4 linked regions of the Cricetulus griseus genome follow. The protein of the gene in region 4 purifies or fractionates together with the protein of the main gene of each other region. This does not show direct contact. Links are inferred from orthologs where the notes say so. Each region holds a gene or a part of one and is shown on either strand. Other genes may lie near its edges.

The links.
Region 1: the proteins of Wdr59 (region 4) and Sesn2 purify together in Homo sapiens (affinity purification with western blotting; 4 studies listed by BioGRID and IntAct, with this or other methods). This does not show direct contact. The link is inferred for Cricetulus griseus from reciprocal best matches to the Homo sapiens genes WDR59 and SESN2.
Region 2: the proteins of Wdr59 (region 4) and Nprl3 purify together in Homo sapiens (affinity purification with western blotting; 3 studies listed by BioGRID and IntAct, with this or other methods). This does not show direct contact. The link is inferred for Cricetulus griseus from reciprocal best matches to the Homo sapiens genes WDR59 and NPRL3.
Region 3: the proteins of Wdr59 (region 4) and Castor1 purify together in Homo sapiens (affinity purification with mass spectrometry; 3 studies listed by BioGRID and IntAct, counting the BioPlex papers as one, with this or other methods). This does not show direct contact. The link is inferred for Cricetulus griseus from reciprocal best matches to the Homo sapiens genes WDR59 and CASTOR1.

The regions. Positions count from the first base shown.
Region 1 is NC_048595.1:20,749,918-20,758,610, forward strand, and holds the start of Sesn2 (sestrin-2), read left to right. Parts: upstream 1-2,850; 5' UTR 2,851-3,162; coding exon 3,163-3,252; intron 3,253-8,693. UniProt on the Homo sapiens protein: Functions as an intracellular leucine sensor that negatively regulates the mTORC1 signaling pathway through the GATOR complex. In absence of leucine, binds the GATOR subcomplex GATOR2 and prevents mTORC1 signaling.
Region 2 is NC_048600.1:45,975,167-45,983,204, forward strand, and holds part of Nprl3 (GATOR complex protein NPRL3), read left to right. Parts: intron 1-902; coding exon 903-977; intron 978-4,819; coding exon 4,820-4,973; intron 4,974-7,018; exon of another isoform or gene 7,019-7,228; coding exon 7,229-7,310; exon of another isoform or gene 7,311-7,437; intron 7,438-8,038. UniProt on the Homo sapiens protein: As a component of the GATOR1 complex functions as an inhibitor of the amino acid-sensing branch of the mTORC1 pathway.
Region 3 is NW_023276807.1:100,667,082-100,673,716, reverse strand, and holds Castor1 (cytosolic arginine sensor for mTORC1 subunit 1), read left to right. Parts: upstream 1-176; 5' UTR 177-427; coding exon 428-540; intron 541-1,080; coding exon 1,081-1,151; intron 1,152-2,211; coding exon 2,212-2,399; intron 2,400-2,480; coding exon 2,481-2,613; intron 2,614-2,834; coding exon 2,835-2,958; intron 2,959-3,320; coding exon 3,321-3,434; intron 3,435-3,606; coding exon 3,607-3,689; intron 3,690-3,779; coding exon 3,780-3,874; intron 3,875-4,009; coding exon 4,010-4,087; 3' UTR 4,088-4,573; downstream 4,574-6,635. UniProt on the Homo sapiens protein: Functions as an intracellular arginine sensor within the amino acid-sensing branch of the TORC1 signaling pathway. As a homodimer or a heterodimer with CASTOR2, binds and inhibits the GATOR subcomplex GATOR2 and thereby mTORC1.
Region 4 is NC_048596.1:187,891,230-187,899,267, reverse strand, and holds part of Wdr59 (GATOR complex protein WDR59), read left to right. Parts: intron 1-748; coding exon 749-902; intron 903-998; coding exon 999-1,123; intron 1,124-3,843; coding exon 3,844-4,008; intron 4,009-5,444; coding exon 5,445-5,540; intron 5,541-5,697; coding exon 5,698-5,854; intron 5,855-6,747; coding exon 6,748-6,817; intron 6,818-8,038. UniProt on the Homo sapiens protein: As a component of the GATOR2 complex, functions as an activator of the amino acid-sensing branch of the mTORC1 signaling pathway. The GATOR2 complex indirectly activates mTORC1 through the inhibition of the GATOR1 subcomplex.

The sequences.
Region 1 (8,693 bases), on a different chromosome or scaffold from region 4:
CTAGTGTCTTCTGATTTTCCTTCACAACATCATTGTCTTTGTAAGTGCAGCTTATAATCACATCTCTGAAGATCAGAAAGTCAAGTTCCTTTTATTTTTAGACAGGGTCCCCTGGGTGATCTGTCTCTGCCTCCTGAATGCTGGGTTTACAGGAATGTACTACTATGCCCATCTTTGTTAAAGGATTTTTTCCCCCCCAAGGCAGGGTTTCTCTGTGTATCTTTGGAGCCTGTCCTGGAACTAGCTCTTGTAGACCAGGTTGGGTCTTGAACTCACAGAGGTCTGCCTGCGTCTGCCTCCCAAGTGCTGGGATCAAAGCATGCGCCACCACTGCCCAGCTAAAGGATTATTCTTATGAAAACAGTTCATATTCATTTGAAAATAAGTAGTGGGGGCGATGGAGGGGTATTTCAACAGAGCTCTTTCTAGCATGTGTGAGACTCTGATTTGATCCCCAGCACAGAAAAAAAAGTATTAAATACACACGCCAGTGGGGTGAGAGATACAGACATAGACATGATTGCTGTCCACAGCTAAATGCAGCCAACAGAAGATGCTGTGTGCTCCAGACAATCAGTTTCACCTTTCTAAACGGAAGTGTCCTGGCTTGTGTGAGTGGCTGGTAACAGAGCCCATTAACTGGAGGGAAGCAGTAAGACTTGTAAACATGACATTGAAGTTCAGTGGGTTTGGAAGACAGGGCTAGGGAGAGGTGGAAGGTGTCGAGGACTGGGCAAGACGCCTTCCAGCAGAGCTGAAGAAGGCTTTTGGAGGAAGTGACATCTCGAAAGCCACAAACAGAATAAAGGCACTGAGTTCTCTACAGTACCTCAATGGGTAGAACTTTCAGAGAGGAGTATCGAAAAGTGGAAGCATCATGGGTGTGACAGATAAAACTGAAGAGTTAGGTTGAAACCTATCTTGGCAGGCCTTGAAGATCAACCTAGGGGTTTAGCTTCATTCTGTAGTTGATGAAATACCACTGGAATTTTTCTTTTACTCTGGCCATTAACATTATAGTCATTTTTGTTTGTGTGTCTGCGTGGTAATGGGACTCGGGATCCTAATGGAATCCTGTAACACTAAGGCCCATCTCCAGCCCACAGAGTATGTTTTTAAAATGAAAGCCGAATCTGATCTAGAGTTGTTTAGAAGAGAATTTAACCCACAGGGACATTTGGTGATCAAGGGTATGTGACTAGAAGGACATTGTGCGCAAAGCAGGAGGAAAATATGTCAAAATATGGATCCTGCCCCCAATGAGTTTCTAATCAAAAGTTTCATACAAGACAAATACACAGAAAATGATAATACAAGATAAAGTGTGAAAAGTATTGAAACGAAGAGAGGAGAGAAACGCCCAGCCCAAGTGCTTAGGAAGGGTGTGCAAACTGCCTTCTCCACAGAAGCTGGAAAAGCATTAGACCTAGTCAAAAGATCATTATTGGTATTATACATCTAAACTCAGACTATTTCAGAAGGGATCTGTAAGGACTAGTCAGCTTAGTCAGCTCTGTCCAGGACTGCTGGACCAGAGTAAAGAGAACTTAAATTGAAACAAAAAAACAGAGGCCTAAAGAAAAAAACTGAGCTGGACGTTGGTGGAGCACTCCTTTAATCCCAGCACTCGGGAGGCAGAGGCAGGCAGATCTCTGTGAGTTTGAGGCCAGCCTGGTCTCCAGAGAGAGAGTGCCAGGGGAAAAAAAAAGAAAGAAAGAAAAGAAAAGAGAAAAAACTGAAGGATGAGATTACTCGATGTGAATGGGTGAATCCAGTTTAAAGTGCTGGGGGTGGGGAGTGGGTTGGAAAAGCCAATCTCCTTGCAAAAGGAGAGGTGAGAACCAGAAGTGACAAGGGTGAGTGTCTAGAAAAAAGAGGGATAGAAACAGAAACTAAGGGAGCACCCATGTTTAGGGAGTGGAAGGGAAAGAGGAGTCAGAAGAGGAGTGGCCAGAGGGATATGTGAGAATAGACCCAGCCAAACAGCTAAGTTACAAAGTTTCCAGGAGTGCCTGGAGGGTGGAAGACTCGAGTGAAGGCATCTAGGCAGAGCAGAAGAGGGAAAATTGTAGCAATAAAGACTGAGATTAAATTTGAGATTACCAAAGGTGTTTTTGTTGTTGGTTTTTTTTTTTTTTTTTTTTTTTTTGCTGTTTTTTTTGTTTTTCGAGACAGGGTTTCTCTGTGTAGTTTAGGAGACTATCCTGGCACTCACTCTGGAGACCAGGCTGGCCTGGAACTCACAGAGATCCACCTGCCTCTGCCTCTGGAGTGCTGAGATTAAAGGCATGTGTCACCAACGCCCAGCCGACCAAAGGTGTTTTTCAAGGAGGGCTTTTCCAGTGCTTCTGACCGTGCAGATCTCTCAAGACCTGAGGGGACAAGGTGGTGGATCTTGGCCTTCAAATGTGCGGTATTTGATCTATAATTAGAACAACTGGATGTGTTAGGGCTATCTGCAACCTTAATCAGTCACTCCAGGAACTGGAAAGCTGAAGAACTTACTCGGAAGGGATTTCACACCTGGCTGTTTGGCCCAGCCCGGTGAAGTCCCATTTCATCACGCAGCCCTAATGACTCCCTGGGCTGTCACTCTCATCTGGTATTGCCAGAGGTCTGACTACCCCTTCTTGCAAAAGTTTGCAGCATCTGTGTGAGGTCAACTACAGCTCCCAGAGTTCCCAGGTGCTTCTCGATGCTGATTGGCGAGACGGTTGGCTCCGGAGGGGGGTGTCGGCCCCGCCTCCCCGGGAAACAGGCATCTGATTGGCTGCTCCGTGGGGCTCTTTTGTCCCCGCCCTCCTCCAGGGACCGCAGCGGGCTGACAGAGCCCGGCGAGCGCTGGCAGTTCTGCGGTGGGGATGCTGAGGAGCGCCGGCTTTGCGAGCAGCGCTGGCCACTGCGGACTTCCGAGGCACTCCGGGCCGTGAGAACCCCTGCTGCGTGACCAACCCCAGGCCTCCTAGGCCGGCCGCAGTTCCCCAAGCCGGGCTGGAAGGAGTGTCCGGCGTGGTAGCGCCGGTTCTCGGTATCCCGAGAGACACCCCGGGGTTCTCGAGCTTCCCCGGCGACCCCTAGCCCCGGCCTCCTGCGAGCGCTCGCCCCAGACCCCCTCGGGTGCCCCAGGCGCGGACGACCCGCGGCTGGGTCCTGGCGCACACCATGATCGTTGCGGACTCCGAGTGCCGTGCGGAGATCAAGGGCTACCTGCCGTTCGCCAGGGGCGGCGTCGCGGGCCCCGGGACCCGAGAGGTAAGCAGCAGTCGGGCGACACTGCTCTTCTCCAGCCACAGCAGAGCTTGGGGCTGTCCCGACCTAAGTCTGGAGCGGCCCCCGTGCTTAGGGTCTGGGAGCACGTAAGCCGGGACTAGGGTTGCATCAACTGCAGCCTCCTGTCTCTCTTCCCTCTCCTTGCCCTCCCCCCCCACCCAGCGGGGGAGGGGGCTGCGGAGCCCTCCCGGGGTCCTTCGGACTCCTGGCCAATGAGAAGGGACGCCTCCTCGTGGCTCCCCGGGTTTGTGCTCTGGTGGAGCGATCGTCTTCAAGTCCAGGCAAATCCCGGCCGGAGAGACCCGACCACTCCTCCTCCCCGCCCCCTTCCGCAGATTCCCTTCCTTTGGGTGGGGGCAGGCGAGCCCGGAGCTCTTTCTAGGATCGTTTTGTGCACCGATCGAGAAAGGAAGGGCCACCTGGGACTGGCCAGCAAAGATCGATTCCCCAGTCCCCACCTGCACCCCTGATCTGAAAATTGCCCAGAGTGCTTTAGGGGTTTGGTTGGCCGTTTGATCCTCGGCGGCAGCGGCTAGAGCTAGGGGAGAAAGCGGATAACCCTTGGTACACTCCCGAAGACTAACAAGTCTCGGGCTGCTCCCTTTTAAAATGTTCTAGGGTCCTCAAAGTTTGCTCGGAGACTAGAGGGACTTTGCAGGGAGGCAAGGTATAATGCTGTTTTAAAGCCCCCCCCTTTCCTTCCAGCAGCCTCGGCAATGAACGCTGTTTATTCTTTATGGAGCGCCTACTGTATGCCATGGTACAGGTTTTGTCTAAGACGGCAAATACAAGCTGTAGTGTAGCCCCATTTTACAGAATGAGAAAATTGAGAGCCTAAAGGGCTGAGAGAGAGGCTTCTTTCACTTAACCCTCATTCTTTGGCCTGTGTATGTGTAGGATTTTGGAGAATGCTTGATACGACAGAAGATATTGCTCTTTTTTTTTTTTTTCTAAGCCTAGAACAGTGGAAGGTGTATTGCCAGAGCTGGTGTATTGACAGACCAGTCTTGAGATGTGTGCATGACCCTAAGAAAATCCCTGTCCATGTCTGAGGAATGTCATTTCTGGAGGTTCTCCATCCAGTGGTCGATGGTTTCTTCGAATGATTTAGGAATCTGTGTAAAGAAACAACCCCACGGTTCTGCCTATTCTTTTCTGGTCACTTTTGTCTGTTTGCTTTGTGGACAATGTTGTCCATGAGAACACCTGAGCATTGGGGTGAGTGCTGGATTCTGATCCCACCCTCCACTTTCTTACTGGGTTATCTTGGTTAAGTGATCACTTGATTGCAGTCTCTTGCATAGGGATTTGATGGTATCTTTAAAAGATTATTGGAGAAATTAAAATACAAGCACAGGGCCTGATCTACAAGAGCTAGTTCCAGGACAGGCTCCAAAGCTACACAGAGAAACCCTGTCTCAAATAAACCAAAATAAATAAATAAATAATAATAATGCAAGCAAAGGCCTGAAGCTGTGTGCCTGGAACATATTTATTGCAGGGAACATGCCACTGCATTAAAATGCTAGCTTCTGTCACATTGGCTTAGCAGACATCCCCTCCCTACCCCGAGTGCCTCTCAAGAGACTTCCTGAGTCTATTCTCTGATGCCTGAGGGGGAGAGCCATTGCATGTCTTCTCTCCACAGTGCCTGGTAGGGAAGAAAATCTCAGGTGGTCAGGGAGATGGGGTGCCTTAGAGGAAGCCTCTTCCAATCCCACCATTTTGAGACAGGATCTCACTCTCTAGTACAGTCTCTTGCTGACCTTGTGACCATCTTCCCACCTCAGCCTCCTGAGTGCTGGGATTACAGGTGTCCCTCAACACTGCATTTAAGAAAGTCACTTTACAGTATTGGAGTAAGCTGGTAATGCTTGCAACATTCTATATCTTCTACTCCCTCAAGAAAAGACGATCTGCACACCTTTAATCCCAGCACTTGGGAGGCAAAGGCAGGTGGATCTCTGAATGCAAGGCCAGTCGGGGCTGCAGAGCCAGTTCCAGGACAACCAGGGCTACAAAGAGAAACTGTCTTCAAAAACCAAAATAGACAAATAAATAAATAAATAAATAAATAAATAAATAAATAAATAAAAGAGCCGGGCACTGGTGGTGCACAACTTTAATCCCAGCACTTCCAGAGGCAGAGACAGGTGGATCTCCATGAGTTCAAGGCCAGCCTGGTCTATAGAGCAAGTGCCAGGAGAGGCTCCAAAGCTATACAGAGAAACTCTGTCTTAAAAAAAATAAAAAATAAATAAATGAGAAAACATGTCCTTAAAGGTGTCTGCTTTAAGTAGAATCCTGCGAAGACAGGGTACCCATTTTCCAGAATGTAGTCCCCAAGACTGAGGAGGGCCAGATGGATAGTTCTTTCAGACCCACCTTCAGAGTGTCAAGCCTTCAGATATGCCTGTCTCCAAAAAATTCCAAGGGGCTGACTTTTGTGTTGGGTGGTATGTTTTCAAAACCATATTGGATTCTAGAATAGCTTCCTCAAAGAGTCACTTCCTCAGAAAAGCTTTTCTTTCCCCACCAGATACTGTTTCTGGTCCCTTCTCCATTGTGAGCTAGCTCCACATAAGCTGGGCCTTTCTGCCTTACTTTCCTGAACCAGTGACCCTGCAGGGCTCACCTTTCTCTGTGACTAAGTGCTTAACTAAACCCTTGTGGACTGTTGAGGCTCTGAAACCCCACATTCACTGTGCCAGGCCAGAGCTTTGGTCCCTTGTCTCTAAAGAGGGGACAACAAGTTCTGTTTTTCTCGGGGTGGCTGGGAGGAAATGAGGTGCTTGTGAGGTCAAACATGTAAGGATTTTAGCTTGGGGCCCCGTCCATTCTGTCTGCCTCTCTGCTGGTGCTGCTGCTATGTCTTCACCTCAGCCGGAAACCCGGGCTCCTATCTGGATTCAGCTGACAGATAGTGGGCAGTGCCAGACCTTCCCAGCTGGCAGAATGATTTAGCAGGGGTCTCTAGCTGAGTCCTGGGGCTGGCAGACTCCAGAGAACGAGAACAAAAGCTGGGCTACTCAGAGGGGCCAATGCAGCTAGTGAATAGTACTCTGAAAGTCAGTTTATGCTGGGTTTAAATGACCAGGTCTGGTGCCATTTCCAGAAATTTAGGTTAGAGTGGAAAGGGCCTTGGCCAGGCCAGGCATTTCTGGGCTCAAATTGCACTTTAAACACTTGTTAGTTGATTTTTAGACATTTAATTGACTCCCTTATGCAAAATAATCCCCACAACATAGAAACTGATAAGGATCAGATGTAAATGGAGCAGGAGCTCTTGGGTTTAACTCAAAAGTTACTGTCTAGCAAGCGCTTGAATTAGGAGCCTAGCTGTGTTCCCTGAGGCAGGTAGTCCTTTTTACCATTCAATGGTCTAAAGATCCCCTAGTGAGTCTTCCCAGTGAGCCGTGTGACTTCATTTTTCGTTGGCCCTCTGTTGCCTCATCTGACAAAATTTAGTGCTGGTAACTCCAGGCACGATGGCACACATCTGTAGTCCCAGAATTTAGGAGTTTTGCCCTGAGTTCAAAGTTGCAAAATTAGTTCCACCCCTGCCTCCCTGTGCTACAAAGTGAGACCTTGTCTCAAAACAACAAAACAATTTAGAACTAGTGTGGTGTAGAGGCATAAAAGTTGAAAGTTTTAATCCCGACTGGCTACATATCGAAACTTAGTCTCAAAAAATTAACTAAGCTAAATTCAAATTAAGCAAAAATTCAAGATTTTTGTTGTTGTAGTCACATGTCAAGTGTCTGGGCATGAAGAACCACTAGGGACCAGCATGTGTATGAGGCAGTGCAGACGCAAAACATTGCCCATGTAAAAAGTTCTATTCATACTCTTTTTTTTTTTTTTAATTTAGGAAAATGTCCCACAGACTTGCCTATGGGCCAATCTGGTAGAGACATTTTCTTCCTCTTTTTAAAAATAATTTATTATTTTTATTTCATGTGCATTTGTGTTTTGCTCCAGATATGTCTGTTTGAAGATGTCAGATCCCTTGAAACTGGAGTTACAGGCAATTATGAACTGCCATGAGGCTGCTGGGAATTGAACCTCAGGTCCTCTGGAAGAGCAACCAGTGCTCTTAACTGCTGAGCCATCTCTGCAGCCCCTGAACTCTTTTTTTTTTTTTTTTTTTTTTTTTTGAGTTATTTTGTTGAGCTGGGCAGTGGCGGTACATGTTTTTAATTCCAGGCAGAGGAAGGCTCTGTGAGTTCAAGGCTATCCTGGTCTACTGAGGGAGTTCCAGGACAGCTTAGGCTGTTACACAGAGAAACTCTATCTCAAAACAAAACAAAAGCTATTTTCTTTTTAATTTTATGTTTGTTTGTATGTATGTATATATATATATATATGTGTGTGTGCGTTGTGGGGGTGTGCATGTGTGGATATGTGCACATGTGTGCAGGTGCCCACTGAAGCCAGAAGGGGAAGTTGAACTGCCTGGTGCCAGAGGCAGCAATGTAGATGCTGGGAACTAAATTTGGGTCCTCCATAAGAGGAGCAAATGGTCTTAACCACTAAACCATCATCACTTCAGTCCCAAAAGTTCTACTGGACTAATGTACCTGACATAAGAGCAATAACAGGAAACTAGACCCTTTGTGCCCTTAAGGCAAAGAGTCCCTGTGGAGGGTGTTTGGGGACAGGTAGTGAATTCCTAAGGCCCTGAGCAGATAAGGAGTTTCTCATTCTTGGCAAACTCTGGTCACTGGTTTGTATAAACCTTGGTTGTTGAGCATAGGGAATGACTTCCACGCCGGCAGGAACCTGGTCTATATTCACCTCTCCCACTTACTTCCTCACTGAGTGACCAGAAGTGACTTGCATCTGGAAAGCTTCAGCCCTACCTTTTACCTTCAAGTTCTGATAGTACATGCCAGGTCAGTGCTTATGCCAGTGGAACCAGGGAATACCTAATCCTGTTATTACTCAACATTGTTATTGACTGTCTGTCCCAGGGAATGGGAGGGGGGCTGGTTTGGTGGTGTCACCTCTTGGCAGTGAGAGCCTGCTCCTCCAGCTTTCCCAGGACTTGCCCAGATGTCAAGGTCAAGGGAACATTCCGGATACTGGAGCCATGGATTCCAACCCCTAGTCTTGCATTCAGGACGTTCCAGCGTCCCCCGTGGCTGAACACTGGTCCCCTCCATCTTCACAGGCTCTGCAGCCTTCGCAACCTACCTCAAAGGTCACCTACCTCTCCAGTAGTTTTTCCTGTCCTGTTAAACTAAAATACCACACAGGCTCGCTCCCACCCTGCCATTACTCATTGTGAGGCTTCATCCTGTGCATCATTTGTTTGCTTTCTCCCTGGGAACTGAGTGATAGGAAAGCTGGCTGAGATTTTGTCTTTTCACAGCTGTAATTCATACTGCCTTGTAATACAATCAGAAAATTGTCAAATGAAG
Region 2 (8,038 bases), on a different chromosome or scaffold from region 4:
GGGGATGGGTACATTTCCTGGGTGTTATAGGGAGAGTTCTAACTCCGTCTTTTTTTTTGTTGTTGTTGTTGTTGTTGTTTGTTTTTCAAGACAGGTTTCTCTGTGTAGCTTTGGAGCCTATCCTGGCACTCGCTCTGAAGACCAGGCTGGCCTCGAACTCACAGAGATCCACCTGCCTCTGCCTCCCGAGTGCTGGGATTAAAGGCGTGCGACACCAACGCCCAGCTTCTAACTCCCTCTTTAGGCAACACTTGTGTTTAGGCTCAAAGAACTGATGGCTCTCAGAGTGGTACCTTTGAATGCTTTGGTATTTGTAAGTGGAGCTGCCTAGATGCCAGAACTGGAAGACATAGCGACTTGGCTTTGTAGCAAGACTGGCTGTCCCTTTTCATCAGGGCTGCTAAACACTGTCCCATCTCTAAATGTTCTGAGCCCTTGCCGTGGCAGCAGAGGCATGGTTTCTGGGCTCTCCATCCACTTGCATCTCTTTCTTTCCTGTCACTTTTGGACATTGTCAGCTTGATTCCTTCATCATGGAACTCAGAGCACCAGCCATTCTGCTCCTTCTACACATGCAGTTCATCTGTTTATATGGTTGATTCTTCTCTGAGCAAAAGCACTGATGGCTTCTCAAAGACTGGGGATGCTTTTCTCTCATTTTACCACACTCTAGAGCTCTCCATGCATGACGTAGAATGATCTAACAACTTTCTTTAGAAAGTCATGGCTCTCTGCTGGCTGTGGCATCGCACTTCTCCATTTCCAGTATTGGGAGCCTGAGGTAGGATCACTGTGAGTTCAAGACCAGCTTGGATCCATAAGAAGTTCTAGTGATAGCCTGTCACAAACAGACAGACAGGACATCTTGTCTTTTCATTTATTAGAATTATGCTCTTTTACAGGTCTCCAAAACAGATCCATCTCCAAAGCGGGAAGCACCCACCATGATTCTTTTTAATGTGGTGTTTGCACTGAGGGTGAGTGTTTGTACTGAGGGTGAGTGAATGAGTGTATGAGTGCTCAGATCAGGAAGTAGGGTCTGAGGGAGGAGAGCCAGTTTCCAGGGAGTTTTTCATTGGCCCAGAGCTCAGACTGTGGGCATGACACTGACTCTTATGATGTGCAGGTGGAGCATAGCTCATTGTTTTTCCCTCCTTCTCTTCCTCCTTGAACTTTTTTGTAAAATACATACATATAACTATTTACTTTATTAATAGTAGTGATGGAATCCAGGGCCTCATGCATATTGGGCAAGCACTCTTGTTACTAAGGTACATCCCTAGTCCTGAATGTTTTCCATTTTAAAATGTACAATTTTGGGCTGGAGAGATGGCTCAGAGGTTAAGAGCACTGACTGCTCTTCCATAGGACCAGAGTTCAATTCCCAGAACTCATATGGAAACTCACAACTGTCTGTAACTCCAGTTCGAAGGGATCCAACAACCTCACACACACGAAACACCAATGCACACAAAACAAAATTAAGTAAATTTAACAAAAAAAGTAATAAAGTGTATGGTGGCACACACCTGTAGTCCCAGTGTTCGTAAGGTTGATGCAGCAGAATTGCCACAAATTTGAGGCCAGCCTATGTTACAGGATGAGATCCTAGTTTAAAAACAGGCAGATGAACATTCAGCTAGACCAGGTACATTCCTATAATCCCAGAATTTGGGGAGCTGAGGTGAGAAAAGCAGCTTCTGCTACATAGTGAGTTTGAGGTCAGTGTAGGCAAATGAAACCCTCAAAAGAGTATACAATTTTAGTCAGGCATGATGGCACATGTCTTTGTATAGTAAGCTCATGGCTTAAAACACCAAATAAGGGGCTGGAGAGATGGCTCAGAGGTTAAGAGCACTGACTGTTCTCCCAGAGGTCCTGAGTTCAATTCCCAGCAACCACATGGTGGCTCACAACCACCTTGAATAAGATTTTGTGCCCTCTGCTGGCCTGCAGGCAGAAGACTGTATACATTAGAAATAAATAAAATCTTAAAAAAAAAAAAAGAAGGAAAGAAACACTACTTTCCTTCCTTTCTTAAAAAAAACCAAAACAAACAAACAAACAAAAAACTACCAAATAATAGAGACACAGAATTTAATTATACCTAATACATTTAGAATGTAATGTTACCATGTGTCATTCACTGCTATCTAGATTCATATTTTATTCCTCTTATTAGGAAACATGAGGAGCCTGGTAGCAGTTTTTATGCCTCTGTATCTCAAAGCAAGTCCTAGGCCTCATGTCAATTTGTTTGTTTTTTATTTATTTTTATTTATGTGCATGAGTACATGGGTGTCTGTCCAAGGCCAGAAGAGGAGTCAGATCCCTTGGACCTGGAGTTACAAGCAGTTGTGAGCCACCTGGTATGCTAGGAACAGAAGTCAGGACCTCTGGAAGAGCAGCAAGTACTCTTAACTGCTGAGCCATCTTTCTGCCCTGCCCCCAGACAGGGTTTCTCTGTGTAGTTCTTGCTGTCCTAGAACTCCCTTTGTAGATAAGGCTGGGCTTGAACCCAGAGATCTGCCTGGTTTTGTTTCTTTTTTAGACATGGTCTGTGTATCCCAGACTGGCCATGAACTCTTATGCATCTGAGAATGACCTAGATCTCCTAATCCTTCTGCCTCCACCTCACAAATGCTAGGATTATAGTTTAGGCATATGCCCATGCCTGTTGTATGTCCACTTATTATCCCATTACTACAAGACTTACCTATAAAGTAACGGTTATTATCTTATGCCTTAATACCTTTTTCAATCTGATAATAATTAACCACGATAAGTTGACATTAATCATTACCTGGTCCATTAAAACTTCCTGAATGAGAACATAGTTTTCCAGTTGGCCTGTGTGAGCCATGATGCAGACCATACTCAGTGTATGTAGTGTCTCTGTATCTACTAGTCTTAGCTGTCCTGCCCATTGTCCCATCACATTTTCCACATCCAGATTTGTCTCATTGGGTAGACTTTCTGTGTCCTACAGACTGGAAGTTACTGTGGAGGTGTTATATTTGAATACAAGCTTTTGGCAGGAAGCCCCATGAGTGATGATGACATGGTCACTTTGGGGCTGCTTCCTATGTTGTACTGTGGAAGTTCACTTTGTTTGTTTGAGATAGTGTCACATAGACTGGGCTGGCCTCAAATTTCATATGTAGACTTGAACTTGATCCTTCTACCTCTGCCTCCCAAGTGCTGGCATTATAGGGATAAACTGTCACATTAGCTACAAGTATGCTCTTTGTAAGCGTTCCTATTAAAGTCTGGCATGTTGTAGTGTCAGCTTCCTCGGTGTTAGCCCATGCAAACAAGAGATACCAGATATCCCTTCAGTGTATGTCATTGAGCCTTACAGGGATTCGGGGGAGGGGGGGAGGTAAGAACCACTTTGCACAAATGGGAAACTCAAACAGTTGGTCCCCAACAGCTGATGTAGGGTGCTTTTATGCCTCAGCTAGTGGCACCTCCAGCAGAAGGTAAGATGCACCTGTGACTTCAGTCCTTTCTCAGAGGAATAACCTGTGTCTAAGATTATTTTTTCACTTCTTTTCTAGTGGAAATGTTTTTACTCAGACTCTTTCTAAATGTGTATTTTTATTTTGAGGCATTTGTGCATACTCTATAAAACAGTCCATTTAGGACATGTTCAGGGGATGCCTTAGGCCTGCAGAGTCAGTTGCAAGTTCCTTTTGTAAAGATGGGAGTTACTGAGAATATAGAAAATCTCTCCAACTCCAGGTAAACAGAGTGTTGTCTGGGTAAGATTTTAACTTAAAGGTAATAGGCACAGGGTCACCTGGAAAATACACAGGATGGGAAAACAGCATCAGAGGCCCTAATCAGTACTGCCATTTGTCCCTCTCCCTTCTAAGCCTGTACCCCAAAGTATTACTCAGCAGTCCTGGTGGCCTCTAGGAACACTGAGTCATGTTTGGCTCAGTTATCTGCTCCTTCAAGCATCTCCATAGATCCCACAGTGGCCTGCTCCACCCTAGGTCTGGGTGTGTACACCTGCTGTTTGACTGTGGTCTCTGATAGGTTCCAGAGGGATGAGGGACACTGCTAACCTGAGAACCTTCTGTGTGGTGCTTTGACCTAGTCATTGTGGGTGCACAATGGACACTGGGGGTTGGGGGGGGAGTGGTGGACATGGACCTGGAGCCTACTGGTACTCTCTGGTTAACTTGGGTCTTCTTTGCTAGGAAGAACTCATCCCTGACAGAAGTTTAGAAAACAGCACAATGCTTCTGTATTATGTGTTCTGTAACAGTATGGCCTGTTGTGAATGAATTCCTCTATACTGTAGACCAGACATGTTCATAAATGGTCAGTGCACAGCAATGATTACAGATACCTCCAAGGTTTTGCTCAGGGCAGCCTCTGTTCTGAGCTGTATGTGTTTGACTGGTTTTCTCTGCTCAGTTGCTTGTCCTTCCTGAGATGAGGACCTGTGACCCAGATCACATAACAGATGGGTGGGATCTGTGCCCTTAGCTGTCCCTAGCTTTTCTGAACAGTCCTAGCATAATGTGAATGTGTGTCCCTTATAGAGGACTCTCATAGCGTCATCTCTGCAACCCTCTAGACAGTTGTTCCCAAGACTGGAAGATGGGGTGTCAGCCAGCATTTATGTAGGTAGGCTGCAGACACACACAGGGACTTCAGGAAGGTAGTTCTATGAGGAGGAACCTAGTGGAAAGGAATGGAGAGGGCCTTTTTCATGGTCTGTGCTTTTGCTGTACACATGTATTAGCTCCTTGTAAATTGTGTGTCTCTGTATACATATTTTGGCTGTTTGGCCTCTCTCATGCAGGCCAACGCTGACCCATCAGTGATAAACTGTCTACATAACTTGTCCCGGCGCATTGCCACTGTCCTGCAGCATGAGGAGCGCCGCTGCCAGTACCTCACTCGAGAGGCTAAGCTGATCCTAGCACTTCAGGATGAGGTGTCAGCCATGGCTGACGGTAAGTGAAGCAGCCTGGTGAGCATGGGTCTGGGCTGACTGATGGCTTCTCCAGAGGACCCGCTGGTCACTATGCTTTGTTTTGAGGCAATTGCAGATAATGCTCCTAATTTGCCCTCTAGTTTCAGGACACTATTAAAGAGACCCTCTATGCAGGAAAGGCAGGCTTACTGCCTGATTGCAGGTTTGATCGCATGCATTTCTCTTTGTGGACTTGGGGTAAGCTGAGAGTACAGAGAATCTTTCTGCCTCCAAGGGCCTCTCCCATATCACAATGGAACAGTCAGAAGCTAACCAAAGCTTTGGCATTTGGTGAGCTGGACACTGGAGAGGAAGTCTTTACAACAGCTAGTAAGCAGAAACTGGCCAGAGAAGTTGTAGGATCTTCACATTGAGCTGGTCACAGGAAGGCTCTTCTCGGGGGTTTATATATGGATGGGTCTGAAATGATATCTATAGGAAATACTGCCCCCCCACACTATATAATCATCTTTCACCTAGGACAGGTGCCTCTGCCTGGCATTGGTTCTGCTAGACAGATTGCCTGGAGTGGGAAACTCAGGGAGGGGTATTTAGATCATCCTGCTGGTAAAATAGGTGATTTCCATACTTGGCTTTTAAATTGAAGAAGAATCTAACTATCCCCTAACCAGTTATAAGAAATAATCTGCTGGGTGGTGGTGGCACACGCCTTTAATCCCAGCACTCGGGAGGCAGAGGCAGTTGGATCTCTGTGAGTTCGAGATCAGCCTGGTCTACATGAGCTAGTTCCAGGACAGCCTCCAAAGCCACAGAGAAACCCTGTCTCGAAAAACCAAAAAAAACCAAAACAACAGCAACAACAAAAAAGAAATAAATAATCTTTGCTGACAGACACTGTAGTGTTTAGTGTGCCCAAAGGACCAAACATAGGAGAGAAACTGGTAACCTTGGCCTCCTTTCCCTAAGGTTAGCAGCTATAGAATAAAGAATGAAGAACAGAAGTTAGATCAAGTTAAAACAAATTAACAAAGTCCCGCCTGGTTCTAGTATATTTTCAGTAAAAATTTTACCTTTTTTCTTTGAAAATTAGCTGGGTATGGTGGCATACACTTTTTTTTTTTTTTTTTTTTTTTTTTTTTTTTTTTTTTTTTTTTTTTTTGGAGACAGTTTGCTGTGTAGCTCTGGCTATCCTGGAACTCACTCTATAGACCAGGCTGCAGGCTGGCCTAGAACTCACTGAGATCTGTCTGCCTCTGCCTCCTGAGTGCTGAGATTAAAGCTGTATACCATCACTGCCCAGCTAAGATGGTGTGTACCTTTAATACTGGCACTTAAGAGGCAAAGACCAGTGGATCTCTGAGTTCCAGGTCAGTTAGGGTTATATAGAGATACCCTGTCTCCAAAACAAAACACTTGTATTGTGGACCTGGAAATGGTTGTAGAGTGGTTGCCTAGTACATGTGAGGCTCTGGGTTCCAGCTCCAGGACCCAAAAACAAAATGACAACAAAAAAAACCAAACACTTACATTTTCTATTTTAGTTAATTATAAATATGATAGTAAACAATCCAGAAATTTTATTTCCTCTTCTTTGATGGTACTCACTTTTAATCTCAGGACTTGGGAGGAAGAGGCCGGTGGATCCCTGTGAGTTTGAGGCCTGGTCTACAGAGCTGAGTTCTAGTCCAGCCAAGGCTACAGAGTGAGGCCTTATATCAAAAGGAAAGAAACAAACCAAAACCAACAATAATCTGCTAAAAAATTAAATATTTAAAAAAACCCACATTCATTTAATTATGCATATTTTGTTAGGGATTCATGAAGATTAATAAAAGACAATTCAGTCATAAAAACAAATCTCATTAGCATACAAGTATGGGAAGAGGAGTGGGATATGGCATGGGCCTACCCAGTCACTGCAACAGAAGGTGAAGTCCAGTGAGCCAAGAGACATTCCTTCCATGGGAGGCAGTGAAATGGGTTGCTTCTGTTACTACAAGGTTGTATAGGCCAGTGACAAGTTTAAATAAAGGTATCTTATATAGAAATAATTTCACAAATCAGTGTGAGTCCACTTTTATTTTACAGGAATCTGGGATACATTGATGATGATGATGATGATGATGATTACAAGGAGTTTCTTGATGTTAGTTTAACATTGCTTTAACATTACTTATTAATGTTGAGTTTGTTCTAAAGATAATTCTTGTTCTGGCTTGTGCATGTTTTCTTGCTTTGGAAGCTGTAAATCCTTATCTGTTGTGATTCTTGTAGCAAACGAAGGTCCTCAGTCCCCGTTCCACCATATCCTGCCCAAGTGCAAGCTGGCTAGGGACCTCAAAGAAGCTTATGACAGGTAAGACGGCCATGCTTGTTGAATCTCTTCTTCCTGGGTCAGCTTTCCTAAGCCTCCAGTGCTGAAGCATTCTATAGACAATGCTGCCATAGGCTGGGTAATGCTCTGGGGTGTGTGTTGTGGAGCTCTGCTGAGACAGGGACAAGGAAGGTTAGGGAAGGGACAGCTGTGTGGTCACTCTTCAGGAAACCATCTTGGTGTCCATTTTTCAAATGGCAGCCCCTTCGTTGAGTGTTGTGTACTTAGCAGGGACTCATCACTCCAGACTCCTTTTAAAACAAGCTTGGGACTGGAGATATGGCTCAGTGGTTAAGAGCACTGACTGCTCTTCCAGAGGACCTGGGTTCAATTCCCAGCACCCATATGGTGGCTCACTACGGTCTGTAACTCCAGGATTCAGCACCCTTACACAGACATATATGCAGGGAAAACACCAATGTACACAAAATAAAAATAAAATTATTAAAGCAACAAAAACAGAAGCTTGGCCCAAGATTATACACAAAAGCCCGAAAATATTTTTCAACCATTAAAATTGACATTTTATTGAGCTTACCTACTGCCAAGTTCTTTGTCACCTTTATTGAGGTGGGCCTCATTGACAGCTCCCTCTTCACATATGAGGAAATCAAGATTCAGTGGGTAGAACTGGAGTTGACTGTGATAGTTTGTGCTCCAGGAGAGCTGGAGTTTGAGACATTGACTATATGGGGTCAGCAAGTATTGGG
Region 3 (6,635 bases), on a different chromosome or scaffold from region 4:
CGTCTTAATGGCCTCAACCATAAAGCCCCACGTGCAAGTCTGGAGGTTAGATAGGACCCCGAACTTCCGGCACGTTCCCAAACCCAACACTGCCCGCAGCGGAAAGGGCGTAGCCGGGGCGTGGCCTGGAGGCCACCGAGGGGTGGGAGCAGGCAGTGATCCTCAGACTGAGGCTACAGGAATGGACAGCGGGCGAAGGCTGGGTTCGAGGGCAGCCGGCAGCGCTGGGAAAGCAGGGCTCTGGAGGAGGCGTGGTCACTTCGTAGAGGCTGTGGGGCGTGGCCGCCGGAGAGTGGGTCGCTGGCTGGGCGGGGCCGCCGCGTAGCGGGCGGCGTGGAGCCCCTCACCGCGGCTCCTTTAAGCCGGGCGCCGCCCCGCCTCCTGCCTGGGTCTAGCTGGCGGAGGGGCCGTGGCCGTGCGATCTGCGATGGAACTGCACATCCTAGAACACCGGGTGCGGGTCCTGAGTGTCGCCCGCCAGGGCCTCTGGCTCTACACCCACCCACTCATCAAACTGCTCTTCCTGCCCCATCGCAGCCGGTGCGCACCCGGGTTCAGGGGCGCAGGTCAGACGGGAGGGGGCTCCTCTGTCATTCTAGGCCAGGGGCGGAGGATTAGGGCCATCTCGAGGTAGCGGGTACCGGGTGGGGACGCTGTCGGTTCTGGCCACCATCCGGGCCGGGCCTACCCTTTCTGAGACGCCGCCTATCCGGCCCGGAGAGCTCGCCTCCCAGGGCTTGTCAAGGTGCAAACTGCCTGGGATAGGCGTGTAGTGGGGCATGCCTTCCTAGCCCTGCCTTAGCCCTTTCCCAGGCGCCTCGCGTAAAGTTTAAGAATTGTTTAGGGGAACCCAAAGCCCGACACCTCTAGGGTGTGGAATGGAGGGAAGATCTGGAGTTGGAAATCAGCCGGAGATGGGACCCAGACCACGTTGCTCCAGGGAAGGAACTGAGGCCTGAGGGCGGGTCAGGAAGGCGCCCGGCGGGGGGTCCTTTAGTACTGCTGGAACGAAGTTCGCTTGTCCTCTCCAGCCCATTCACTCCAGCCTGAAAGTCTCCCCACCCCTTCCCTCCCCACTAGGTGCAAGTTCTTCAGCCTGACGGAGACCCCGGAAGATTACACACTCATGGTGGATGAGGAGGGTTTTAAAGGTGGGAACTGGCCCCTTGCTCACCAGTAAGCCGTATTCTTACCAAGTGCAGGGATGGATCCAGCTTCCCAAGGTCTCAAAGGCATATGAGTCTGGGTTCGAATCCTCCACCCCTCACTTAAGTTTTCTCTTATGTAAGACATAGTCTTGTCAGTTTAACAGTATTTATGAGAGCTTTATAAACTTAAAGCCCAGGAAGGGCAGGGTGTGAGTCCCAGGCCAGTAAGGGGTGTGTGTGTGTGTGGGGGGGGGGTTGTCTCACAGTTTTAGTCCCCATTAAGGGGTTCCTGTAGCTGTTTTAACCCACGGACATTATTTATTCTTGGAATTCTCTCGCCAGTGAAAGCCAGATCCTCCTTTACTGGCCCGGGAAGTCTAGGAGCCTGAGGGTTGGGGAAGGAATGCAGGAGCAGGCAGCAAGCCCAGAGCAGGGTCCTGGGGCCTCCTGGCTGTGTTTGGGCGAACAACAGCCACCCTGGCCCTTGTCCCTGTTCAGCATTGGGACCTGGGAACTGACTTCTGGCTCCCATTTCTGCCTTCCTGGCCTATCCTCTGAGGCCTAGAGTCTCAAGCCAGCCACCTGGAGCTTGGCCTAACCTCCCTCCTGAAGGACTTGGTTTCCCTGTTCTGTAGGGAAATCTCTTGTCTGCAAAGGAGCAACTCCCAATCAGTAGATTGCTTGGCGCCCTCTGGTGGTTCTATGAAGCCTATTAGGCCACAGAAAAGTCCCCAGGAATATCCCATTTTGCAGATAGGAAACAGACTAAACAGGCTTGGAATCACAGTGTTTTAGGAGGCTGTGGCAAGAGGATCAGTTTGGGTTCAAGCCTAGCCTAATTTACATTTTAAGACTCTGTCTCAAAACAAACAATGAAAAGCCACTTACCTCAAGTCACACAGCAAAGGTGAAGCTGGAACTTGAACCTGATTCCGAGTTTGAGAACACCTGCAAACGAAGCAGGGCAGAAATGATAGAAGACAGCCGTGCTCTTCAGACCTCACCTGCCTTGCTGGAACTCACTAAGGCTCACACTAACCAGGCGTGTACCTCCCGCCCACAGAGCTACCCCCATCTGAGTTCCTGCAAGTGGCCGAGGCCACATGGCTGGTGATGAACGTATCATCTCACAGCGGTGCAGTGATGCAGGCTGCTGGAGTTACCAAGATTGCCCGGTCTGTCATTGCCCCACTGGCCGAGCACCACGTGTCTGTGTTGATGTTGTCCACATACCAGACAGACTTCATCCTGGTGGGTTTGGGCAGGTGTTGATACAGGGCATAAGCAGAGGAGCCTGGAGCTGTATAATGTATGTCATTTGCCTTGACCCAGGTACGGGAGCAGGACCTGTCTGTAGTGATCCACACACTGGCCCAGGAGTTCCAAATCTACCGGGAAGTAGGCGGGGAACCTGTGCCTGTTGCCAGGGATGATTCCAGCAATGGCTTTCCCCGAGCCCAGCATGGTAAGGTCTGCCCTCCAACACCCAGATTTAGGTAGGACCTTTTACAGGAGGGCTTGTCCTTGAAAGGGATAGGATGGGTATTTCAATCGGACCAGCAGATACCGTTTCTCAATGTGTGAGACATTGGGATAGGCACACCCAGGCCCTTCCCTTCCCAACCACCAGGGGTCGCCCAAGCCCAGGATTGCCTTTTCACCTTGTGGCCCATGTATCCTGAGCAGGGCCCAGCCCCACGGTGCATCCCATTCAGAGCCCGCAGAACCGATTTTGTGTTCTCACACTGGACCCCGAAACATTGCCGGCTATTGCCACCACCCTCATCGATGTCCTCTTCTACTCACACAGGTGGGCCATGCGTGCACTTTATCTCTGGCCTTACACTAGTGCTTCCTGCACTCTGACCTTTGTCTCATCCATCCCTTCTGTCACTCTGTATCCTGCTCAGTGATTAGGGTTCCTGACAGCCGGTTAACCCTCAGCCAGAGGTGTTGACAGAACCACTCCACGGCCACATACACCCCAGTCAGGCCCTCTGCCCAAGACCCTTGGTCTTTGGCAGTTAGGGTTCATCCCTCAGGAAATTAGGATTCTCTCACAAGGGCCTTCCCAGAGCCATCCATTCTGGTTTTTCCTCTGTGGTCTGGTAGTCAGGAAATGGAGAGGGTCATGTGCCTGGCAGAGCCGTTGACCTTGTCATCCCTCTCCAGTGTCCCCAAGGAGGCAGCCTCAGGTGGTCCTGAGTCAAGCTCCATCCCGTTCTTCGCTTTCTCCCTCATTGAGGGTTACATCTCCATTGTTATGGATGCAGAGACCCAGAAAAAGTATGTAACCCCTTCTTTGACCCAAGAAGGCCATAGCCCCTCAGCCAGTCTCAGGGGAGGAGGAGGGGGAGGTGGGGTGCCATGCTCGGTGGTGGGTAGGAGGACATGCCCTGGGGATCAGGGTAAATAGGGATGCATGAGTGTCCTTTCCATCACCCACCTGCCTCACCAGGTTCCCCAGTGACCTCTTGCTGACCAGTTCCTCTGGAGAGCTGTGGAGGATGGTGCGCATCGGGGGACAGCCCCTGGGTTTCGGTGAGGATCGCTTGCCCCTGTATTGGGGTTAGGGCAAGCCTATGGGTGTCCACAGCATCCACACTGAGACACCTGATCTCCAACCCTCAGATGAATGTGGGATTGTGGCCCAGATCGCGGGTCCCCTGGCGGCTGCTGACATCTCTGCCTATTACATCAGCACCTTCAACTTTGACCATGCCCTGGTGAGTGCCTGGGCTGGGCTGGAGATTCCTGCAAGGTCCCAGAGGTGGGGGGAGGAAGAAATCCCAGCTGATTTAGGGAGCTGGGCATCCCTGGCCAGATTCAGCCCTGGCATTGTATGCTGTGCTCTTACCCAGGTTCCTGAAGACGGGATCAGCAGTGTCATTGATGTACTCCAGCGAAGGCAAGAAGGCCTGGCTTCCAAAGGTCCATAGGGAACACCAGGATCCCAGCATTCTCCTGCCCTGGGCTCTAGAGACTTTTCTGAGCTCTTTCCTGAAGCTGCAGAATGAGCCCCTGATCCTGCCAAGGGACCCTGGTTCTGCATGGAACTGGCATGTGTGGGCAAGTAGGCACCTCTTGGCACAGTGGGCAGTGCTGGCTCCTAATGGCTGCCCACAAAGGACACCTTGGTGCTTGGGGCTTAGACACCCCCCTCCCCCAACCCATCACTTTCTACGTGGCCTCAGCGTTTGCACAGTCCCTGCGTGAGGCCCGAGCCATCCCTCTCTCACCTGGCTGGGTACTTCTGCCTGTGGCTTGGGTTGCCTTCCTGGCCAGGTGAGTTCCAGAAGTGCCTTCCCTTCCTGGGGCTCCCGAGGAAAAGGGTTTTCCCATCTCACTCTTATTTTTATGACTGTTTAAATAAATAAAAGACTTGCTGAGCTGGGCTCTCTGGTTCCGAGTGACAGCCAGTGTCAGGTCTTGATCTCCCAGATTTCTCCCGCCACCTTGACTTTTCAAGCAGTGTGTATCTGTGACAGATGAGCAACTAAAGCCCCCAGCCCATTTGTGCCTAAGTCACATGGTTCCCAACCAAAGCTGCTTGTCTCTAAAGTTTAGAGTCTATATTCATTCTTAGTTACTTCAGGATGACCTAGAGAGCTCTGGACACTGGGAGAAATTCCTCTGTCTCTCACCTAAAAGTCCCCTGGCTGGACACTGGGGAACCTATCCAGGAGGTCCCAAAGCATCTCTCTCCCAGGTTATTGCCTACCTTCCTATATGCCTTGCCTAAATTCTTATGTCCCTCTTATGGAGGAATCACACAGTTCATGACACTTGGTGGTCAGGCCTTTTCCTGCTGAGGTGCAAGACTAAGTGGACAGAACAGGACCCAAGAGCCCACTTGGAGCCCTCATTGCCCTCCAGTGCTATATGTGGGCACATCTGGGGCTGGGTTTTTCCATCTTGGGGCCTGCTCAGCAGGACAGGACTCCATTGCAGTGGTCAGGGCCCTACACATGTCTGGGAGGTTATCAGATACCTTCAGCTCAGACCCACCCATGCTCGGGAGGGGAAGAAGGGTGTGACTTCTGTGTACCCAGGTCATAGTGACTCCCCAGAAAAGCCAACACATGGGCTAGGCTTCTGGCAGTATGCCCACTTGGCTCTGGGGACCCCAAGGCTGGGGCCTCAGACTCAGATCCGATGAGTCTAGAGCACAGCCCGGCATGGTGAGTGAGTGGTGAGAGGCCTTGGCTAGTCCTCTTCTTCAGCCTCAGTTTCTCTGTGTCCAGGAATCAATTCCTTCTGGGACCCTGGGAGGGAGCATCTCCTTAGCATTTGTCTGTGGTGGGGAGTGGTATGGAGAAGGCCTGTCTCCTGTAATGGGGGACTACTGTAGGCTCAGACTGGGGGTACAGCCTGCACTAGAGGGAGGTCAGGACGCTCAGGGCTGCCTGTCCTATACACAGCTGGCCCTGTGCCACTTGCTTGGGAGGTTTGCCTGTGAATCACTCAGGTTTGGCTGCTTTTGTCATCCTGGCTCTCAAAAGCCTCAGGCCTCAACCAGGTCCAAACTGGCCCTCGCTGGCTCTCAGGGCTACCCAATATCTGATTCAGCCAGGGGCAAGAACCACGGCCCAGTGAGCTGCTCCGGTGCACCTCAAGGCTGGGGCCACAGGCTGCAGATGCGATGAGTCGCAGAAGCGAAGAGTTGCAGAAGCGATGACTCGAGAGCTCGTTAGGCACAGCCTAGTAAGTGTGTGTCTGTGTGTCTGCTTCTAGCTCTGTCCACATGTGACTTTGTCACTGTGGAGGGCCTTGCCTGTCAAGGCATTGGGATCCTTGGGGTCCCAGGGCTGGGGTTCTAGCCTCTAACGGGCCTTCTATGTTTCAAGGGGCCACAGATATTTGGGGGCACAGGCATAGGGCTTAGAAGGTGCCCAGGGAAGGGGCTTTCACCCCAGCCTGATGCCTCCCAGGAAGCTGGTATTCTGGGTTGGGCCTAGCAGTCTCCAGGCCTCCATGGGGGCCTCTAATCAGTGTGGTTGGCCTGGGCTGGACTTGGCAGGTCTACTCTAGAGGCAATAGAAGGTATGCTTAGGCTTCTATCATGCAGCCCAGGGTTCAGCTCTGGCTGAGATGTGGGCCTGGACAAGTGGAGATGAGACAGGAAGAAGCCTCAGCCAAGGCCGGTTTCTACTCTTTGATCTTGTCAATATACAGGAGTCCATCTCAGGTCATCCTCGAAGATAGGAACAGAAATTCCAGGTTTTTAGACCTCTGCCCTTCTCCTGTCCCAAGAGCTGCCTGGTCCTGTATGTGCCAAATTGCATCACAGTTGGGTTTTCTTTTATTTATCTATTTTTTTTTTTTTTTTTTTTTTTCTGAGACAGGGTTTCTCTGTGGCTTTGGAGGCTGTCCTGGAACTAGCTCTTGTAGACCAGGCTGGTCTCGAACTCACAGAGATCCACCTGCCTCTGCCTCCCAAGTGCTGGGATTAAAGGTGTGCACCACCAACGCCCGGCTCTTTTATTT
Region 4 (8,038 bases):
TCATCCATCAGTGTCACCTTCTCTATGACGTTCCTTCCACTGTTTCCATATATGAGCATTTGTTTTTTACATAAATGGAAGCGGTACCTGGTATGTTGCTCTTCTTCTCATCCAGTGGCTGAATCCCTTGATGGTGAGAAACACAGCTCTTTGGTGTTTCATTCCCGCCAGCATTTCCTACACCAGCTCCTCCAGGACCAATGGGAAATGCTGGGAGAAATTTATAGCACTGCTTGGTCTAAACTCACCTGAGCACTTTGGTTAAGTCCTATTATCTTATGACTTTTTATTTAAATCTGTATTTTCTAGAACATACCATTTGGTCCAAATGCTTAAGGTTATGGTATTTTTGTTTGTGAGTTAGCTGAATAATTCCATTAAGACTTGGAATTTGAGTTGATTTTTTTTTCCTTAGCATTTTAACTCTACTCATGATGTAAAATGTCTAGAGTAGAGTAATAGAGGAGTATATTATCCTTTGTATTTAACCAGAGAATGTTGGTGGTGGGTAAAATATATTTTGATTATATCAGTTCTTAGCTGATACATCCCTATTCTTTATGATTCCCATTTTTTAATACTGAACTCTTTAGCTAGACATAGTGACCATTTCCATTACTTCTCTAGCTCTGCACCTTTACCCTTATGTTTTGTTGTTTTGGTTTTTGGTGCTGCTGTCAATCAAACCTAGGCAAGCACTTTAACACGGAGACACATTCTCCATCCCACCCTCTGCCCTTGCTTTCAGCTCTGTGCCAATGACATACTGGATGGTGTTGATGAGTTCATTGAGAGCATTTCTCTTCTCCCGGAACCAGAGAAGACCCTACACACTCAAGACACAGATCACCAGCCCAACTCAAGCCACGGAGAAGAAGATGGTAATGCAACCGATATCCTAGGTGAGTGGTCCCACTATGTATCCCAGAGTTACATGGCAGATTCCCCAGAACTCTCATTTTCTAAACATTCCCAATATTGACTGTCTCTCCTGGTAGCCTTAAAGGAAGATCCTCCCAGCAGTTTGCTGGAAGAGAGGAAATCAGACCAACTAGGCCTGCCTCAGACTCTGCAGCAGGAATTCTCCTTGATCAATGTGCAAATCCGGAATGTCAATGTGGAGGTAAGTCCCAGTAATGAACTGGACTTCATGCTTGTGGACGGGTTGTGTGGGAGTATGGGTCTGTTGGAGCTGGAGTTAGAGGCAGTTGTGAGCTGCCCAACACAGCTGCTGGGAACTGAACTTTGACCCCGTGGGAAAACAGGAAGTGTGCGTAACTGCTGAGACATCGCTCTAGTCCCAGGCTTCTTTCTTAATTCCTACGTTTTCTAAAGAAATAGCTGTTTCCCAAATGCAGACACCTTTGAAGGTCATGTGCCATGGCATTCCCTCAGCATCTCTCTAGCCCCTTGCTTTACTGTGTGTGATGAGGTTTGCTCTGGGAAGGCTTACTGATTGACAGGATTATGGGGGAGGCTAATGGCAGAGCTGAATTTGGATCTGGATTTCCCAAATCTCATGCTATTGTACTGTGCTTTTCCACCTTCCCTTTATGAGCTAGTTTCCTTTGATGTAAATTCAGAGTAAGAAGGTGACCTAAGTCTCTTGGTTCACTTAGCACTTGAAACCGACTTGGGCCAGAAGGTTATTCTTCGGTGACAGGGTCCTGAGGATTACATGGCCAAGAGGTGAGACGATGAAGAAGACAGAAATCTGGGATCAGGAGGTCTTGCACAAGCTATGTCTTATGCCAAGCAAACTTACTAAGAAGTACAAAATCTTATATACTGTTTCCAGGGGGATAAATGGGACGACGCCAGCAGAAGTTATCATACAATGGGACAAAGTCAGCAAGATGCTAATCAAGCAGTGTTGCACAAAGAGAACACAGGGTATTGCAAGTACATCACAGACTGACCACACAGCAGCCCAAAATCCTAACTCATTCAGGGTCCAGGGCTCAGCCCCAGACTAGTCTGCCCCTTGGCAAGGACACAAAACTAGGCTCCTTTTGTGGTTTCATCAGAGCCTCTGAGAAGCCTTGGGTTGGCCTGGCTCTCAATATGGAACTCACTCTCTCTCTCTCTCTCTCTCTCTCTCTCTCTCTCTCTCTCTCTCTCTCTCTCTGTGTGTGTGTGTGTGTGTGTGTGTGTGTGTATTTGTGTATTTCAAAATTGCTTGCTTCAGAGAACCGAGTGTCACTCCAGGAAGAGATTTTAAAGCTTTGCTAATTTTGCTTTTGCTCAGAGTTATTTCACTATAGACAGATAAGCACTGCAGTGCTGTGATTTGCTTGGTCTTTGATGCCATTTTGTGATGTGAAGTGTCACTCTGCTTTACAGATGAGGGAATGGAGACAAGGTGCAAAACTACTGTTTAGTGGGAAGAGATAATACTTGTTTTTGATTTTGATTTTTAAAATCTTAATTTTTAAAAATTTTGTGTGTATAGGTATTTTGTCTGCATGTATGTCTGTATACTACTTGTTAGCAGTGCCTGCAGAGGTCAGAATAGGACACTAGATCCCTGGAAACTGGAGTTACAGACAACTGTGAGCTGCCATGTGGGTGCTGAGAATTGAACCTGGGTCCTTTGGAAAAGCAGCTAGTGCTCTTAACCACTGAGTCATCTCTCCAGACCCCTAATGATAATATTTAGATTGAATTGAATTTAGTTGCATAATTCAAGTTTCTCAATTTCCCATGGGTTTGGCTCTTTTCATTGTACTTCAGCTACATTCTCTAGTTGGCCATATTGGAAATCATCAGAGCTAAAGGCTAGTGTAATTGCCTATCTGTATCAACTTAGCCTATGCTTCGGTTGTCCCAGTTGAGAACAGTACCACTACTGGTTTTAGAAAGAGGCCTTGATTCCAGAGTTGTGCAGCTTTCACCTGCACAATGTTCTAATTCTAGAACATTCCCATCACCCTAAAAAACAAAACAAAACAAAATTCTGTAACCAGTAAAGTGTGATGCCACATTTCAGTAATCCCAACACTCAGGAAAGATCATGAGTTCAAGGTTAGCCTTGGATGCATAACAAATTCCAGGCCAGCCTGGGGCACATAGTAAGAACCTGTCTCAACAAATGAATGAATGAGTGAATGAAATAGATAAATAAACAAATGAAGCAACTCCTTTGTGCATCTGTCAGGTAGATCAGAGCTTAAGAGTACTGGCTACTCTTTCATAGGACCCAAGTTTGATTCCCAGCACCACATGGTAGCTCACAACTGTCTGTAACTCTTTTCAGGGAATCTGACACCCTCCCTGGCCTTTGTGGGTACTGCAAGCATGTAGCATGCCCTCATACAGATAAATAGAAAGTCTTTAAAAAGAACATCTTCCACTACATTCTGTTAATAATCATTAGGTGTGAAAGAATTCCTTTTGTGGTTATTAAAAAAAATCTCAAATTTCTAAATCTGTAAGAATAAAACTTTTTAAAATGCAAAATGAATGTCTTTACCTGTTACATATGTATAAAATTAAAAAGTCATATATATACATTTATATATATGAATTTATTTAAATCAGTATTAAAACTTAAAAATCTGTTCTGAAAATAAATTATATTTCGAACTATTTGTTTTTGTAGGCACTTTCCTTTTATTCAGTTACTAGAAACATGAGCATTTATGCTGATTGTTAAAATCCATGTGTATTCTGCTGAGGGTGTGGCTTGGGGTAGAGTAGTACTTGTGTTGCCTGTTCAAGGCCCTGGGTCCAAGGCTCAGCACTGCAAATAAAATACAGCACAGTATGATAGGGTGAATGTGTTTCATCTCTGAAGACCCTTTGCAGTTTGTCTCCAAAGCACCTTGCACTTGTGTTTTACAGATGGACGCTGCAGACAGGAGCTGCACAGTATCTGTGCATTGTAGCAACCACCGTGTCAAGATGCTGGTGACGTTCCCAGCACAGTACCCCAACAATGCTGCTCCTTCTTTCCAGTTCATTAACCCTACCACCATCACATCTGCCGTGAAAGCCAAGCTGCTGAAGGTGAGTGAGGCTGAGCTCCCAGCTTCAAAGTCTCTATGCGCTGTAGCAGGCATTGGTGAGGTTGAGCACAAACCTGCATCAGTAAGATTTAGAAGTTGCCTGTTCCCCAGATGCTGCAGTATCTGCTGAATAGCTACTGTCTTGGCAATCAGCAGTAGGACAGGGTTCTTAACCTGCTTTTTTGAGGGGGTGGGTATGGATGTCCTGTGGAATTCTAATAAAAAACTGTTGATTTTTCTTCAGAAAAACATTTACAAATGTTGGATCTGAAGGATTTCATAAATATCGAATGCAAATATATTGACTATAAGTAACGAGTTTGCAAATTTAGAGCTTTGCATTAGTCTGAGGTTGTGAACTCTGCAAGGCAGTTTTTTTCACTTATCTAGGAAGAATAGGCAAGATATATTTTGAAGCTAAAAATATTTGAAAATGTACAGTCATTTAAAAATCTCAGGAAAAGGGGCTGGAGAGATGGCTCATAGGTTAAGAGTACTAGCTGTTCTTCCAGAGGTCCTGAGTTCAATTCCCAGCAATCACATGGTGGCTCACGACCATCTATAATGAGATCTGGTTCCCTCTTCTGGTGTGAAGGCACACATGCTGGAGGAACACTGAATACATAATAAATAAATCTTAAAAAAAGAAATCTCAGAAAAGAAGCCCTGTGGGTTCAGAAACTGATGTGTGTAAGATAATTAATTTTAATTGTACTTTTATTTAACTCAGCACATCTAAAATAATATTATCATGTCAACATGCAATTAGTGAAAATGAGCCAGACACAGTGATAACAGTCCTGTAAGCCATGCACCTAGCATGAGAAGCAGGAGGATCAGGAGTTCAAGGTTATCTTCAGCTACATAGCAAGTTTGAGGCCAGCCTGGGCTACATGAGTCCTTGGGTCAACCCCCAAAACGAGATACTTTACCCTTCTGTGAGTTTGGAGGATGCACATTTCCTGTGTTCCCTGCAGAGAGCAACAGCAGTGATCCAGTTCATGTGCCTGTCTTAATGTGGGTGTCAGTTCATATCTCTAGCATGTACCTTAAAATGTCAGGGGTCACCGTTTTAGTGGATGAAAACACAGCAAATGTATTATAACTTTTGCTGAATAGAAATCTTTGCCCTGGCTTCTGTCACTCAGAGCAGTTTCTCTCCAGCCCAGTGATGATGTTTCCAAAACAATTAGATTTCTCATGTGTGGAGGCAAAGCTGTGTAGACTCACTAGAAAGAAAGAATAGCCATTCTGTTCTGTCTAAGGCTCGGGAAAGTTCTTTTCTTGAGCCCTTATGGGAACCAGTAGAAGCCTCAGGCCTGACCATGTGCTAGCCTCCCAGGGCCAACATGCTTCCAGCCACTTTGCAGAATAAAGCCAAGCAGAAACATATGGACATATGATTCTCTCCCTGATGGTGTTTTGGGTCTTTTCCAGATCCTAAAGGACACTTCCCTGCAGAAAGTGAAACGCAACCAGAGCTGTTTGGAGCCCTGCCTGCGCCAGCTCGTCTCCTGCCTTGAGTCTTTCGTGGTGGGGAATGTGAACTTGTTGAGCCAAGCCATGCTTTAGTGTCTTGTCGTAGTTCTTGTCCCCGGGACCCTGGCTCCCGTTGTAGTGCTGCACCACTGTTTTGTGATGCGACTTAAAGATAGCTCGTGGGTTCTAGTGTGTTTATCTTTGATTTCAGAACCAAGAGGACAGTGCTTCTAGCAACCCATTTGCACTCCCAAACTCTGTCACGCCGCCCTTACCGACATTTGCACGGGTGACCACTGCTTATGGATCATACCAGGATGCCAATGTTCCCTTTCCTAGGACCTCTGGGGCCAGGTTCTGTGGAGCAGGTAGATCTCTCTGTTCTTTGACTCTTAACTCCGAAGAAGTGTAGCTAAGAAAGGCTTATATGCTTCATAATTATCAGTAAATGTTTGTTTTTAACTTTGTAAGAGCTCAAAACAACATATGGTATAATACTAAATTCATGTCTGTAGATGTAGCCTAGGAATGTTTACCAGGGGCCTGGAGAGATGGCCTAGCAGTACAGAGCACTCACTGCTCTTCCAGGGGACTCAAGTTCAGTTCCCAGCACCCATGTCCAGCAGCTCACAACCATCTGAACCTCCAGCTCCAGGGGATCCGACATCCTCTTTGGGTCTCAGCATGCATCTAGATGCACAGCATACACACACAGAAACACATACGTGTGCACATAAGTAAAATAAATAAGTCTTTGTAAAAAAAAGAATGTTCTCTATAATTGAAGGCTTAACTGCTTTAGTCCTGATGGACCTGAATTTGCATCTACTTAGATCCCTGATACTTTTACCTCTCCTAGATCTTGTAGACTCTCACCTTGTTCCTTTTAAGGATCAGTGTAGTCACAAGCCTTGGCAGTTTGTGGAGCTATGCCTTGCGTATACGGAAATAGAAGAAAAACCCTGCCTGGCTGGTGGTAATAATGCTTAGCATGTGTAAGACCCCATGTACAATCCCTAGTACCACCAAAAAACCTTTTTTTTTTTTTTTTTTTAAAGTACAGTCATTAACCCAGGCATAGGAGCTCATGCCTTAATCCCAATACTTACTATGCCAAGGCTGGAGGCTTGCTATGAATTCTAGTACAGCTTGGGTTACCTAGTGAGACCCTGTCTCAAAAAACAAAAGATTACCCTATCCTGCCTTGGGATTCCCATGTCCAGCTCATTGACACCACGTGCTCCTGTGTCTCCTTCATCAGGTTACCTGGTGTACTTCACAAGGCCCATGACGATGCATCGCGCAGTGTCTCCAACAGAACCTACTCCTAGGTGAGTCTGGGAGATGCTGCAGGAATCCATGTCTCTGTCTAAGTTCATGTCTGTTAATCAGTTAAATTCCTCTTACAAGATTCCTTCTTCAAAGATGGGGGTTCATTAACTTATTTCGACTGTAAGGTTAGTATCAAAGCACTGGGAAGACAGCTTGATGAAAGTGGTTGTTAAAGCAACTTTGGGCTGGGATGTCAGCCTAGAGGCAGAACATGTACAGGGGTCTGGGTCCCATCCCTACAACTAGGAGGGGAAAGAGGGAATTCTTTGTAAATGTTTTACTCCCATTGCTAAACTTTTATGTAATTTTATTATTTAATATTAAACTAAAAGAAGAAATACTATCTAATTAGTCACACAACACTAATAGGCCACTTCTGAAATCAGGATGTGCCATTTTCACAATTACGTGTTAGAAAAACTCAAATCACATTAAAGTTTTAAATAAAAAATGCAAAAGCCCTTTCTCCCTTTCTCCCCGTGCTGGGAGAGGCACTGTCACAACCAAGCATGTTCCTGCCCTTGGCACTGTTTTTCTGTGCTACTTCTCTGATGGACAAGCTAGTGGGACCGATGAGGTGTGAACTTTATAGCCAAATCACCCAAATTAGCTGGTTGATTCTTTGACTGTGGACAGTGTATCTAAACTGCTTTAGTTTTTTTTCAGCAGTCACTCAGGTAGATCTTTTAGTTGCCAGGAAAGTTAAGTAAATGGTCCTGTAAGACAGTGAGTATGCAGACTGCTGCTAAGGCTTCTCTCTGGCTTTAACACTGTACAGTAGACTTCTGGTTCTTTGGTATGGTGACCAAGATAACTTGGAAATCTTTCTGCTAGAACAGTATCATATGCAGTATGCTGAATGGATGGAATACCTGGCTGGCAAGATGGTAAAAGCACTTGCCACTAAGTCTGATGACCTGAGTTTGATCCTGGAGACACACATGGTGGAAGGAGAATAAAGGCTTACTCATTCCCTCAGATTGTCTTCTGACCTCCACATACACATGGTGGCTTGCATCCCTCCTCCCAGAAAACACAATAAAAATGTTTAAAAGAAAGGATTGAATGCCACCTGTGAGTAGATGCTATTGTTTGAGTGGGTGTTTCCAGTTTCTGCACTGGTCCCAGCAGATGAACCCTTGATGCTTAAGAACTAGGCTTAAATAACCAGGTTCCAACACCTACTCTCCAATGGATCACATGTCCTCGTGGGGACATTT